2 linked regions of the Drosophila melanogaster genome follow. The gene in region 1 interacts genetically with each later gene. Each region holds a gene or a part of one and is shown on either strand. Other genes may lie near its edges.

Region 1 (5,869 bases):
TTGGTGATGCAGTTGCTGCTGCGGAATCGGCAGCTCGGATTGCTGATGCTGCTGGTGGTTGAGGTACTGGTGGGGATTCTGGTACTCACCGGCGGCGAAGAGCGCCGAGGCAGTCGCCGCGCTGCGGGAAAGCAGGAAAATGGAAAAGCGCAAGGTTAGAAACAAGGCAATACAAAGTCTCGTATATGGCCGCCATATGTTGCATCACGGAGGACACAGCCCGGGGAGCTGGGACGAGGACTTTTTGCCCACTTCCTGCTGGCGCGACAGGATCCATGGTGACATCATTTCATGGCTCATCAGGCAATTAAGGACGCCCCTGTGCGGCGGTCCACACATGCGAATCACACATGTTGACCAGCCCAGAAGGGATCGGGCGGACCAGCGATCGCCGTGACTCCCGACTGCCTGCCTCGGACATTGTTGTTCTTATTGTTAACACTGTCTCTCCTCGTCTTTGTCTTCGGCCTCTTGTACAAATAACGATGATTTGTCAAAGCCTCGAGCTCAACGCTCAACGCTTGACGCTCTCCGATCCCAGATCCTATTTGCAATTCATGCTTTCTATGTGTTTTCATAGGATTTCTTCTGCTACGTCTCGGCGGAAGGTTATCAAAATATTATCTTTCTTTGGAAAATTGGTAGAAATTAATTTTCCTATGGAGCCCTATTAAATAAAAATAAATAAAAGCGATCGGGACGGGGAAGGGCGCTGTCTTCGAGAAGAAGTCACTGACAGGTAGAAGTGGTGGAAATGTCCATGTATGCCAGTTGATAGCTAAAAATGGCTCAACTAACAGTTGGTCTCTCTCTGAACTGCACAGATACCTTCTTAAATCATTGCAATTTAGATAGTTAACCGGTATAATAATTAGTTTTATATCATATATGTACACTGATTCGATTTAGTAGATTTTGGTAACATGTAGAACACAGTACCTTGGAACTAGTCTATTGGTGTACCCCAATTTTTAGTTGCTTTTGACCCTTAATGTATAATTGATTCAAAACTTCCAAGCTTACCCATCGATATGCCCGTAGGAACCTTCGTAGGCCTCCGTTTGGTTGACCATGTTCAGGATATCCTTGACCGAAAATGGAGTGGTGTTCAGGGCATCCGCGTTCGTCAGGCTGCCCGGACTGGGGGACTGAGTGTAGTGATCGTAGTAGCCACCCGATTGAGCCTGCTGCTGATGGTGCTGCAACATCCTCGCTGTGCGATCACTTGGCCACTTGAGAAGCACTTCGATTTAAATAAGTCCAACAATTTGCCAAATCGCACTTGAACTTGCGACACTTGAATTGGAATCTCGGTAGTCCAGTAATCGAGCAAACACTCCACGCAACCGTTAGCGCAACCGTAAGTGAGTCGTAGCCCGTAATCGGCAATCAGTAGTCCGTAACCCGTAAGCCGTAAAGCGCCGTTCCGATGCGCACTCGACCGTGTCTGCAATTTGTCAGCTCGATTTTGGTACTGAACGCGTACTCCTTTCACCCCAGACCGCCTCATGCCACTGTGTTTTTGGATGTGTGTGAGCGAACTGAGCATACGGGCAAAATGGCCGCCCCGGAGCCAATCACAGCACAGCATCGGAATGCGAGTGCGGCATCTCGCTCTTCTGCGCTAGAGATGTGCGAGGCTGTCATATGCTTAGGAGATTTATAAAATATGTATCCAAATATAAAAAACTAATTTATGTATTACATTTGTAAATTTAATCTAATAGCTTAAGAATATATATGGTATTGACAATATATTTTAAGTTCTGTCCATCACTAATTCCAAACATGTATGCTTGTATGCATGTATGAAAGTATCTTTGCACAATCGCACACATTGTACCTGACTATCAGATTCAATAACCGACTCCTCCAGCTGCTCCCCGTTGTTATTAGTTGTTTGTTCGCAGCCACTTTATGCTGATTTTGTTTCGCTACTTGAGCTTAAGTATCCGTATTTATTATCGTAAAGTCCTTAAGTTTTATAGTCCCCATGTATTTACGTTTGTCCGCGCGTCTTGTGTATTAAACGGTTGTCAAGTGGCGCTCAAGTGCAGATTTTCGCACACTTGATTTTAAGAGTGTACTAAGCTAACAAATAAATAAATCGTGGGGAATATGTTTGGTTTAAACGTTACGCTCTCATATATTATTGTTTATTTCACTTGAAACTGTTATGATTTAATAGAGATGAATAACATGGATATGTGAAGTTGTCTAAATAGAGCAACATTTTTAATAATATTTCGCCTTTATGGGATGAATACCTTCATTTCGAATCTTGGCATTGCACCAAAAACGTGTTCACATATGTATATAATTGCATATGTAGTGCATATGTACATACAGTACACAGATATACATATTATGTACATACATATTTTGTTTGGTATGTTTAAGAACTTTTAGCGAATATTTGCCTTTCTTATAATCCTATTAAGTCACTTTTTTTTTAAAAATATAGTGCCCTTGTGCATTCAGAGTGTAGGGTTTACGTAGTGACGATGCGCTCCATAAGAGTTTGTCAGAGTTATAATGAATTCCGCTAGAAAATAATCCTCCATTCGTAAAAAATCGAAGGCCCAGTTTAAAAAATAGGAGAATTTAAAAAAGTTAAAATTTTTCTGTTTATCTTATGAATTTTATTCTAGTTGTGCTAGTTTGACTGCTAGTCTTTAAACTCGTTAATTTGTATTTTGTTTTATTTCATTTAAAATAAATTAAACATTAAGCTAGACAACAAAACTGTTGTGAAATAAGAAATTTCGTCATAACATAAATACATCGTATACTTAGGCCGATATTTTCTTAGTCCTACAACCTTTTTTAACACACCCGCAAACTAAAATCCTACAGCATATGTAAACTAAAGTATGTAAAAGTTTTCAAAAAGTTATGAACTTAATTATGTGATTTTCGTACTAACATTTAAAAAAAAAATATCAAAGCACATCAACTATCAATATTCATAAAAGTATTTCGATATAAATATTTTAAGCTATCGATATATTGTCACTTTTTGTTTTGCCATCGCCAGCAATCTCGTCGCCTGGTAACACTTCTAATTTTCACGTCAAAGAACTCGGACGCGTTCTGCGTGTCGGCCGCGCTAGCAAAAAACTCTGGCTTTAGTTAGTTATTTTATTGGAAAAATATTTAGTCAAGAGGTGAGTAATGGCGCCCCAAGTGAATATACACAGTAGGTTGCGGTCATTAAGCGAGATAAATGTAATTTACACACACGCACACACAGACAGACGCGTGAAAATTTCCCAGTTTTTTTTGGCTGCAGTGCATTCTATTTTGTGTGTGCCTTTGCCATTTTTCAGCACTCGCTGCATTGAGTTTTAAACGCGCATTGCACTTTTTCGCCTGCAGCCAACAAACGCATAGATACAGAAAAGTATTGATTTTCGTCCAAGATGGCGGACGACGAGCAATTCAGCTTGTGCTGGAACAACTTCAACACGAATTTGTCGGCCGGCTTCCACGAGTCGCTATGCCGCGGCGACCTGGTGGACGTCTCGCTGGCCGCCGAGGGCCAAATAGTGAAGGCCCACCGATTGGTGTTATCCGTCTGCTCGCCCTTCTTCCGCAAGATGTTCACTCAGATGCCGTCGAACACCCACGCTATCGGTGAGTTTGTGCCCCTCAGCTCAGATCTGTAGCTCTACGTGATTTTTTACCTTATACTCTCTTCGCCTATCTTGCAGTATTCCTGAACAACGTCAGCCACTCGGCGCTGAAGGACCTCATCCAATTCATGTACTGCGGCGAGGTCAACGTGAAGCAGGACGCCCTGCCCGCGTTTATTAGCACCGCGGAATCGCTGCAAATCAAGGGGCTAACGGATGTGAGTATATGTATACATTTGTGTGCGTGATATACTGGTATATCGAATCGAGCAACTACAACGCAACCTTTCGCGCCCAATACATACAGACGCGATGGCTGGCGTCTGTATAAGAGCATGGTTTGACTGTACCGAGAAATTTCTCGCAAACCAAATGCCAAAAGGCACGCGTGCCAGAGAGAGACAACTGCAGGGGCTATACGCGAAGCGTTTGTCTCGCTCTGGCTCGCACGGCAGCGGCAAATTGGAGTGGTTGTTTTTGTCTCGCAGCGAATTCGATGCCAAAGCATAAACATTTTTTGCTTTTAAACTAATGTTTAAATTGGGAAATATCTCTTAATGTTTTCGACTAAAATTAACGTATTTGCAAAATTAAATTTAGTGCAGCTGTACCTAAAGAAACAGGCATCGGAACTAGAAAATGTATTATTGTTTCCCAATTCAAGGAAGGCGTACTTTACTAATTAATGGCCAGATTTCTTATTTCTTTGCAAATTCCATTCTAACGGAATAATTCTTTTCAACATATAGTTTTGAAATCGTCCATTTTATTAAATGCAGATACTTTTAAAGTTTATTAAGTTTTGATCGTGGTTCATTTTTAAAGAGGTGCTAGAACATACAAAATATCTTTTCACTTATTCCTAAAATATATGTTAATAATTAAAAAACCAATATTTTTTTTTCAGAACGATCCTGCGCCTCAGCCGCCGCAGGAATCCAGCCCGCCGCCAGCAGCACCTCATGTACAACAACAGCAAATACCGGCTCAGCGGGTGCAGCGCCAGCAGCCTCGCGCCTCCGCCCGCTACAAGATCGAGACCGTGGACGACGGCCTGGGCGACGAGAAACAGAGCACCACCCAGATCGTCATCCAGACCACGGCCGCACCCCAAGCCACCATTGTACAACAGCAGCAACCGCAGCAGGCGGCGCAGCAGATCCAATCGCAGCAGCTGCAGACGGGAACCACGACGACGGCGACGCTGGTGTCGACAAACAAACGCTCTGCCCAGCGCTCCTCCCTGACCCCCGCCTCCTCGAGCGCCGGCGTAAAGCGCTCCAAGACAAGCACCTCCGCAAATGTTATGGACCCTCTCGACTCGACCACTGAAACTGGAGCCACGACAACCGCCCAACTTGTGCCGCAACAGATCACCGTGCAAACCTCTGTGGTCTCTGCGGCAGAAGCAAAGCTCCACCAGCAATCGCCGCAGCAGGTTCGACAGGAGGAAGCCGAGTACATTGATCTCCCCATGGAATTGCCCACGAAATCTGAACCTGACTACTCTGAGGACCATGGCGACGCCGCCGGCGATGCCGAGGGCACCTATGTGGAGGACGATACTTACGGAGACATGCGCTACGACGACAGCTACTTCACTGAAAACGAGGATGCTGGCAACCAGACTGCGGCAAATACGAGCGGTGGCGGAGTGACGGCGACCACTTCCAAGGCTGTGGTCAAGCAACAGTCCCAGAACTACAGTGAATCATCGTTTGTCGACACCAGCGGGGATCAGGGCAACACAGAGGCTCAAGGTTGGTTGAATTGCAAAGCATACATGGCCAGAGGCCAATAGATATAAGCAATATTTAAAGGACATTAAGTCCGCTTGCGAAATGCAAACACGTTAAAAAAAAGATCACATATGTATTCCAAACTTGAACACTTTCCAAATCTATTAGCGTCGCAAGCGGATCATGTCCTTTTAGAGTTCGGCAAAGTGCGTTTAATTTTGTTTTGAACAAACTTAAGCTATACTTCGCTGGCCATTAGTTAATAAGTAGTTTACGGGCCTGTGTTCTATTTCGAATCGACAAAGAGCACTAGGCAGATCTGCTGTCCGATGCATATTTGTTAAATGCTGGACGGAGATCGCGCGGTTTTACACTTATTCAGTTAAAAGGTAAGTAGAGTGATGAAATTTTAAGAAGCTGCTACGATGGATATCTGATGTCAACGTGAAGCCGAACCCGTGAAGAGCTGCAACTACTCAAGGTAATACCGGCACT
Region 2 (5,869 bases), 7.1 Mb from region 1:
TTCCGGCTGCGACAAATTGAAATTTGTATGTACCGCCATTCGTGATATTTTGCCAGTTGACTTTTTGTGTTACTTTTTATCTAGAGGAAAAAAATATCCATTAACTTGTAGGATTTTTCTTGTTATAATTCCAACTGCCGTCGTTCGTGTTGATGCTGTTACTTAAGTTATTAATTTGATTGTTGCTGCTTCTGTGGGACAACAACGAGCAGCTTTTGTTTATGGTTTCTCTAGTTTTCCATCGCCTTGTTTTTTTGTTTTGAAACAATACAAATGAGTGAGAGGAGCAGCGCAGATCACCGAGTGTGTAAATACACACAATCGAGGCTTTACGTTTGTCCCATGGCAACGACAGTAACCGTTCTCTAACTTAAGTAATTGTTGTGCATATATTTCACTTAATAGCAACTCTTCTTTTTATAATATTTTTGTTTATTTGTGTGTATTTCTATATATTCATCTTTTCGGCACTCACAAACACAGATACAAAAGCGGCAACGACGACGACGGCGACGACAACGCGATATATTTTATACGTTTTTTTCCAGCTTTTTCGCCGCTAAACGAAGGCACTAACTAAGTGAACTTAGCCAAAACAACTAAGAGCGCAGCAGGCGAGCGACCAACTCCAAGCAGCACTCAAAAACAAGTGACTGCTGAAATGACTGGCGAACAAGCGACGAGCGACGATTCTCCGCCGCCGGCGAGGTAGACTCTCTTCCAGAAGACTCTCTTTGGGCGTTCAGCTGGGCTCTCGGCTTTCGGTTTCTTCGGCTGGAATTGAAGAATGGCATTATCGCGCACTGGAAGTGCACACAAATACTCATTCGATTCGTGGATGTTGGTTTACTGCCTCCACTGCTTCCACTGCTCACTTCTCCAACCTGGAATTACTTTTCCAAGTACTCACCATAGGGGCCATACGAATTCGTTAGATGATTGTGCCTAATTCGAGTGATAATGGTGATAGCAAACACGTTGGACTAGCCAGCAGGGAAAGAGAATATTACAGGCACAGTGGTTGCATGGTGTGATGAACCATCCGAGTTTTACTTTACTTAATTTACTTTCCCACTTCAGATCACTCATACGCAGTGGTGTCCCTTACAAAAACCATGTTTTAACTGGATGTTGATTTTATTAGATTAAATTGATTAAATTAAGTTTATTAGATTTCATGACAATAGCTTGCATTTAATAATCTAAACTAAAATATTATATAGATGGCACACACTGTACGCAAATAATCGTATGTATGTAAGTATGTACCCGCAAACTTGTGATAATCATTTAAGCAGCTCTCTCTGTTTTTCTGGCACTCATCTTGATTATTAAATGATAACTGGATGACGGCGACAGGTGCACAAGTACAATGATTATCAAGCTCCTCGCGTTTTCTATTAGGTTTTATTGTTTTTTTTTTCCCGAGTTCGTCATAGGATTAATTAGCATGCATGATAAGCCCACGATCTGTGGAGGAATCCCTTTTTCAGCGATGAGCTGGAAATTTTCCAACCAACGCGGACGTCATCGTTTGCATTGCAGATTGCGGTAAAAGTTGAAGAACTATTTTTGGAAATCCGGTGATAGTGGCTATACGCCCGCTGCTTCTGCTGCTGCTGTCAAAACAAGACTTTCATTATGATTAGGCCAACGAATTCGTGTTGTTTGCGGCCCAGATAAGCGCCGAATGACTGTCACAGTACAAGGTAATCCATGTTAGATATACATATATTGTTATCGATACCCCTTATCACTGCGCACCTAAACGGACCGACTAACCATGAGGTGCGGAATGCGTCAGCTGCCAAAAACAAAGCTCGATCTGCCCGTGTTGCCAATAGCTGATAGTCCAAGTTACAAGGAGTTGATCAATTTGTTTATGTTTTCGTGTTTAATAGAAGGAATGCCAGGGAAATTGATTTAGTACCTATTATTAGCATTCATTTGAATTATTTCATTTACTAGCAATAATGGTTGTTATGATTATAGTTTCATTATTATTACTTTTTTTATTTTATTATATTATTTTGATAATATTTAGTTATTTATTATTTTTATTTACATAAGTAATTACTAAATTCAGGCCACAACTATTAACACGTCCTTCTTGGTGAACTTTCTATACTAATAAGGTTAATTGCAATGCCTTTTTGTGAGATAACATCTTCTGAATGTGGGTTACCATTTTTTGTCACTGAACAAGAAATTTACAGGCGCTCAGTGATTCAATTTCCTGCGAATTTTTTGTTCACTTCGGTGAAACGTCGTCGAAATGACGTCGATTTAAGCCACCGAATTACCGCCCTACGCTTCTCGCCCGGCAACAGTTGGATTTACATTGTGAATCAAATATGTGCTAATTGAGCGGACACGTTCGATTCGTTGACCAAAATCTATTTGTTTACATCGCGCCTTGCGAATGCATAAAGCCTTTGGGTGTCTTCCCAAAAAATTGGTTAATAACTTTGGCAAAGAACCAAATGCGAAGTGGACGCAGCTGACAAGTTGTTTATGTGTGTCCGCACATTATGGCTTCATTATGAAATCGCAACTAATCCGAACTTCATATACTGGCATAATGGAATTGCCAATGAGGTGATTGATATTTGCCACTTAGAATGTGGACTAGGAAAATCTCCTGTTTTTTAAATTGTTTACCGAAGCGGTTTCTTTTCTTTCCTTCTTTCCCAATAAGATACCGAAGGGTACTTAAAAATTATATTGAACGGAAAGTGTGATAATATTGGATATTCAAAAATTCAAGGTTAATGTGTTTTGTACACTCCATTCTAAACATTTTAATTACCACAAATTAAACAAATTAGCAGTTACACCGAAAGTGGTTTTAAATTTTGAAAAATACTGTTTTGTAGCAATACGCTTTTGTCTTTGAACTAGCAGAGACACATTCCGTATTTAACCAAGACACACACCCCGCAGAGCAGAGACACCCTACTAAAATATCGGTGTGACCAGGTCTGCACACACATGAATTTATTTGTAAGTCTCACAGTATTTTTTATAGTTATCGGCGCGGTCACACTGTCCGGTCGTTTTGCTTTGCTATTTCCATTTCGCTCGTCGAAAAAACGCAGAAAATGTGGAAAATAATTGATAAACTGTGCTAAATAGTGTGTGTGAATATGGTATGCAGTGTCTGCCAATGAAATTACATCGAATTTGTGGCGTTCAATTGTTAAAAAAGTGTGAAAATCGAGAGCAGAAAACCTGATTTCTGTGAAGAAGAAGCAGGCATTTTTCATCGTCGTAAAACCCATACATACAGACACCCGCACACACACACACGCGCATACGTAGCAACATATGTATATACGAAACGCGCGGGCGCGAGAGAGAGAACGAAATAGCAAGAGAGCGGGCCATTTCGGTTCGTGTGTGCGTGTACCTGTGCGTTTGTTTTGTGAGCGCAGAGCGACAGAGTGAGAGAGCGGCGAATGTGAGAGCCAAAGCAAAAACCAAGAAATAAGTGAACGAAAATAAAAACGAAAATCGCAATCTCCACCCCTGTATTTTGTGTTTACTAGTGTTTTGAGTGCGTGTGTTTCTGTCCCGTTTTGTTGTGAAATTGTCCCAAGTGTGGATTATTTTCGTTTTCGTATTATATTCGTGCACCAAGGATGCCAAATGGTAACAACAACCCCTGAAACGGTATCGAATCTCAATCTGCATCTGGATACACGCTCGACAGCAAGGTAATTATAAGATCGCCGCGATAAAAGGCGTCGCCGGCTGCCGATGAGTCAGTCTGCCGTGAATATATATCAATGGATATTTGCGCACATATATAAGCATGCCAGATATTGATTTGGAATGCACCCGGAGATACTGTACACCATTGCACACCACATCACATTATCATATCCCATCCCGTCGATTTCATATTCATAAAGTCCCCACTAACCTTTGTAGACCTCTAGTCAGTAGTTTAGATTGTTGTTTTTAGCTAGAAAGAATAGGAAAGTGTCGTTCAATTATTCACTCGATAATGCAAATTAGGCTGCACAACAAATACTGTTAGTTTATGGCCCACGCTGCGATTTATGTCTACAGTGGGACCTCGTTGAGTGCGACTAGCAGCAGATGGTAGCATTTTTGATTTAGTTTTGTTCTATTTTGTAGTACTAGTAAGCAAGTCTTGTTTCTGGAAAACCTGTTGATTTAATAACAACTTTCTTAACAACGAATTCATTAGTTAATATTTTTATTTTAATCTAATACTAACAGTTTAAAGAGGAGGCGAAATATTTTTTGCTTAAAATAAGTACATCTATTATCATATAATCATATGACTCCTGAAGTTAATCCATCAAATATTTCATTCTTATAAGAAACAATATTATTCGTTTTCTGTTAGCCAGGGGGATTTTACTGCAAGTTTCCATCTACGACGTTTTCCATTATTTACCACCCGTAAAACGAACGGTAAATGACAGTCGCTAACACACCCACACACACAGCGGCGAGCTATAATAAAGCATCGCCGATAAATAAAACTTAATGTGTGACCAGTTAATTGCTTTTGTTGTCGCCTCATTCTAAATCAAATCACTCTCTCGCTCTCACCGTCTCTTTCTCTCTCTCTCTCTCTCTCTATTGGGCTCACATGGCCAAAGTGTTTGTATAACTAAAATTGCTGTTTGTTTTGTTGCTGGCGCTGTTGAAACTTTTAATAAATTATACAATAAAATGAAAAACGATCTCAGCAGCAGCAGGAGCTAAATCGATTGCCGCTGCCGTTCGCTGCCTAGAAGCTGTTGAATAATTACAAAATAAATATATGTACTTGTACATTGGCTGTTTGAGTATTTGTTGACGCCATTTTTTTATTTGCCATCAAAAAGGCAAATTCCAAATCGGCTAGTGTCGATGCCTGTGTGTTTGTGTGTGGGAAACTACGCGCCAAACAACATTGAGGCGCAAAATCGCCAAATGAGTAATTGCGCATATTAAAATTCGCCTTTCAAAAGTCGACCAACTGAGCCGTAAGCTAATGCGAGATCTTGAATGGGAATGAATATGCGATGCGGGCCAACCGATGCTCATCCGAATGCATTTTCACGCTCCACTGCGTCCGCATCTCGTCGATCACGCCTCACAGAATCATTGCACATTTGAATTCGGATGGGTCTACTCACAAATACAAATTTTAAGATCATTTGATGGGACATTTTCAACGGGTTTAAATTAAAATATCCTTGTTTACATAATTCCTATTGTAAAATCGAAAAAAGTCATTTGTTTATTTGTTCTTCTTCTCCAAGATAATCTATTTTCTAAAACATGAGCACTACAATGCTTCGCTTAGCGAGCGATCACTGTAGGTGTGATTTCTATTTGCTTCGGTGGCCGAATTATTAGTTTGCATTGTTGCTACCAGCTAGCTGTATTTACACCTTTATTTACAGTGCGTTTTGAGAGGCTGCAGCTGCCAGCTGAGTTGAATTTATTTTACCTTGTGTTTCGTTACCTTTTACCACCACCACCAACACACAGCATAAACACCACGAAACCAGATGCCCACACACGCAAACAAACATTCGCGTACAAGTATTTAGTTCATGTTTCGTGGCAAATTGGACATCAAAATTGCGAGCTGCCAAGTCGGCTCTCAATATTCAATGCCCAATGCTCATGGCCCACAGAGATACAGATATCCATCCGACCATCTCTATCCATCCATCCCAACACCAATCCATGCGGCACCCACACCACGACACCTTTCGCACATTTATTGGCGCGCACATTTTTCATGTTTCACCTTTGGCTGCGTGTTTTGATTTACAAGCAAATACGGTGTATGTGTGTGTGCACAAGCATACAAACATACACTCCCCCGCGTGTGCTC

What was found. A genetic interaction does not mean that the proteins touch.
Region 2: of mod(mdg4) (region 1) and trx, changing one enhances a phenotype caused by changing the other (phenotypic enhancement), as found in Drosophila melanogaster (2 studies listed by BioGRID).

What each region holds. Positions count from the first base shown.
Region 1 is NT_033777.3:21,374,586-21,380,454, reverse strand, and holds the start of mod(mdg4) (modifier of mdg4), read left to right. Parts: upstream 1-3,053; 5' UTR 3,054-3,167; intron 3,168-3,378; 5' UTR 3,379-3,422; coding exon 3,423-3,636; intron 3,637-3,713; coding exon 3,714-3,853; intron 3,854-4,542; coding exon 4,543-5,395; intron 5,396-5,869. Other genes in the region: tin (tinman), read right to left, coding at 1-121, 1,024-1,208. UniProt on the Drosophila melanogaster protein: Component of the gypsy chromatin insulator complex which is required for the function of the gypsy chromatin insulator and other endogenous chromatin insulators.
Region 2 is NT_033777.3:14,284,056-14,289,924, reverse strand, and holds the start of trx (trithorax), read left to right. Parts: upstream 1-3,021; 5' UTR 3,022-3,716; intron 3,717-5,869. UniProt on the Drosophila melanogaster protein: Histone methyltransferase that methylates 'Lys-4' of histone H3 (H3K4me). H3K4me represents a specific tag for epigenetic transcriptional activation.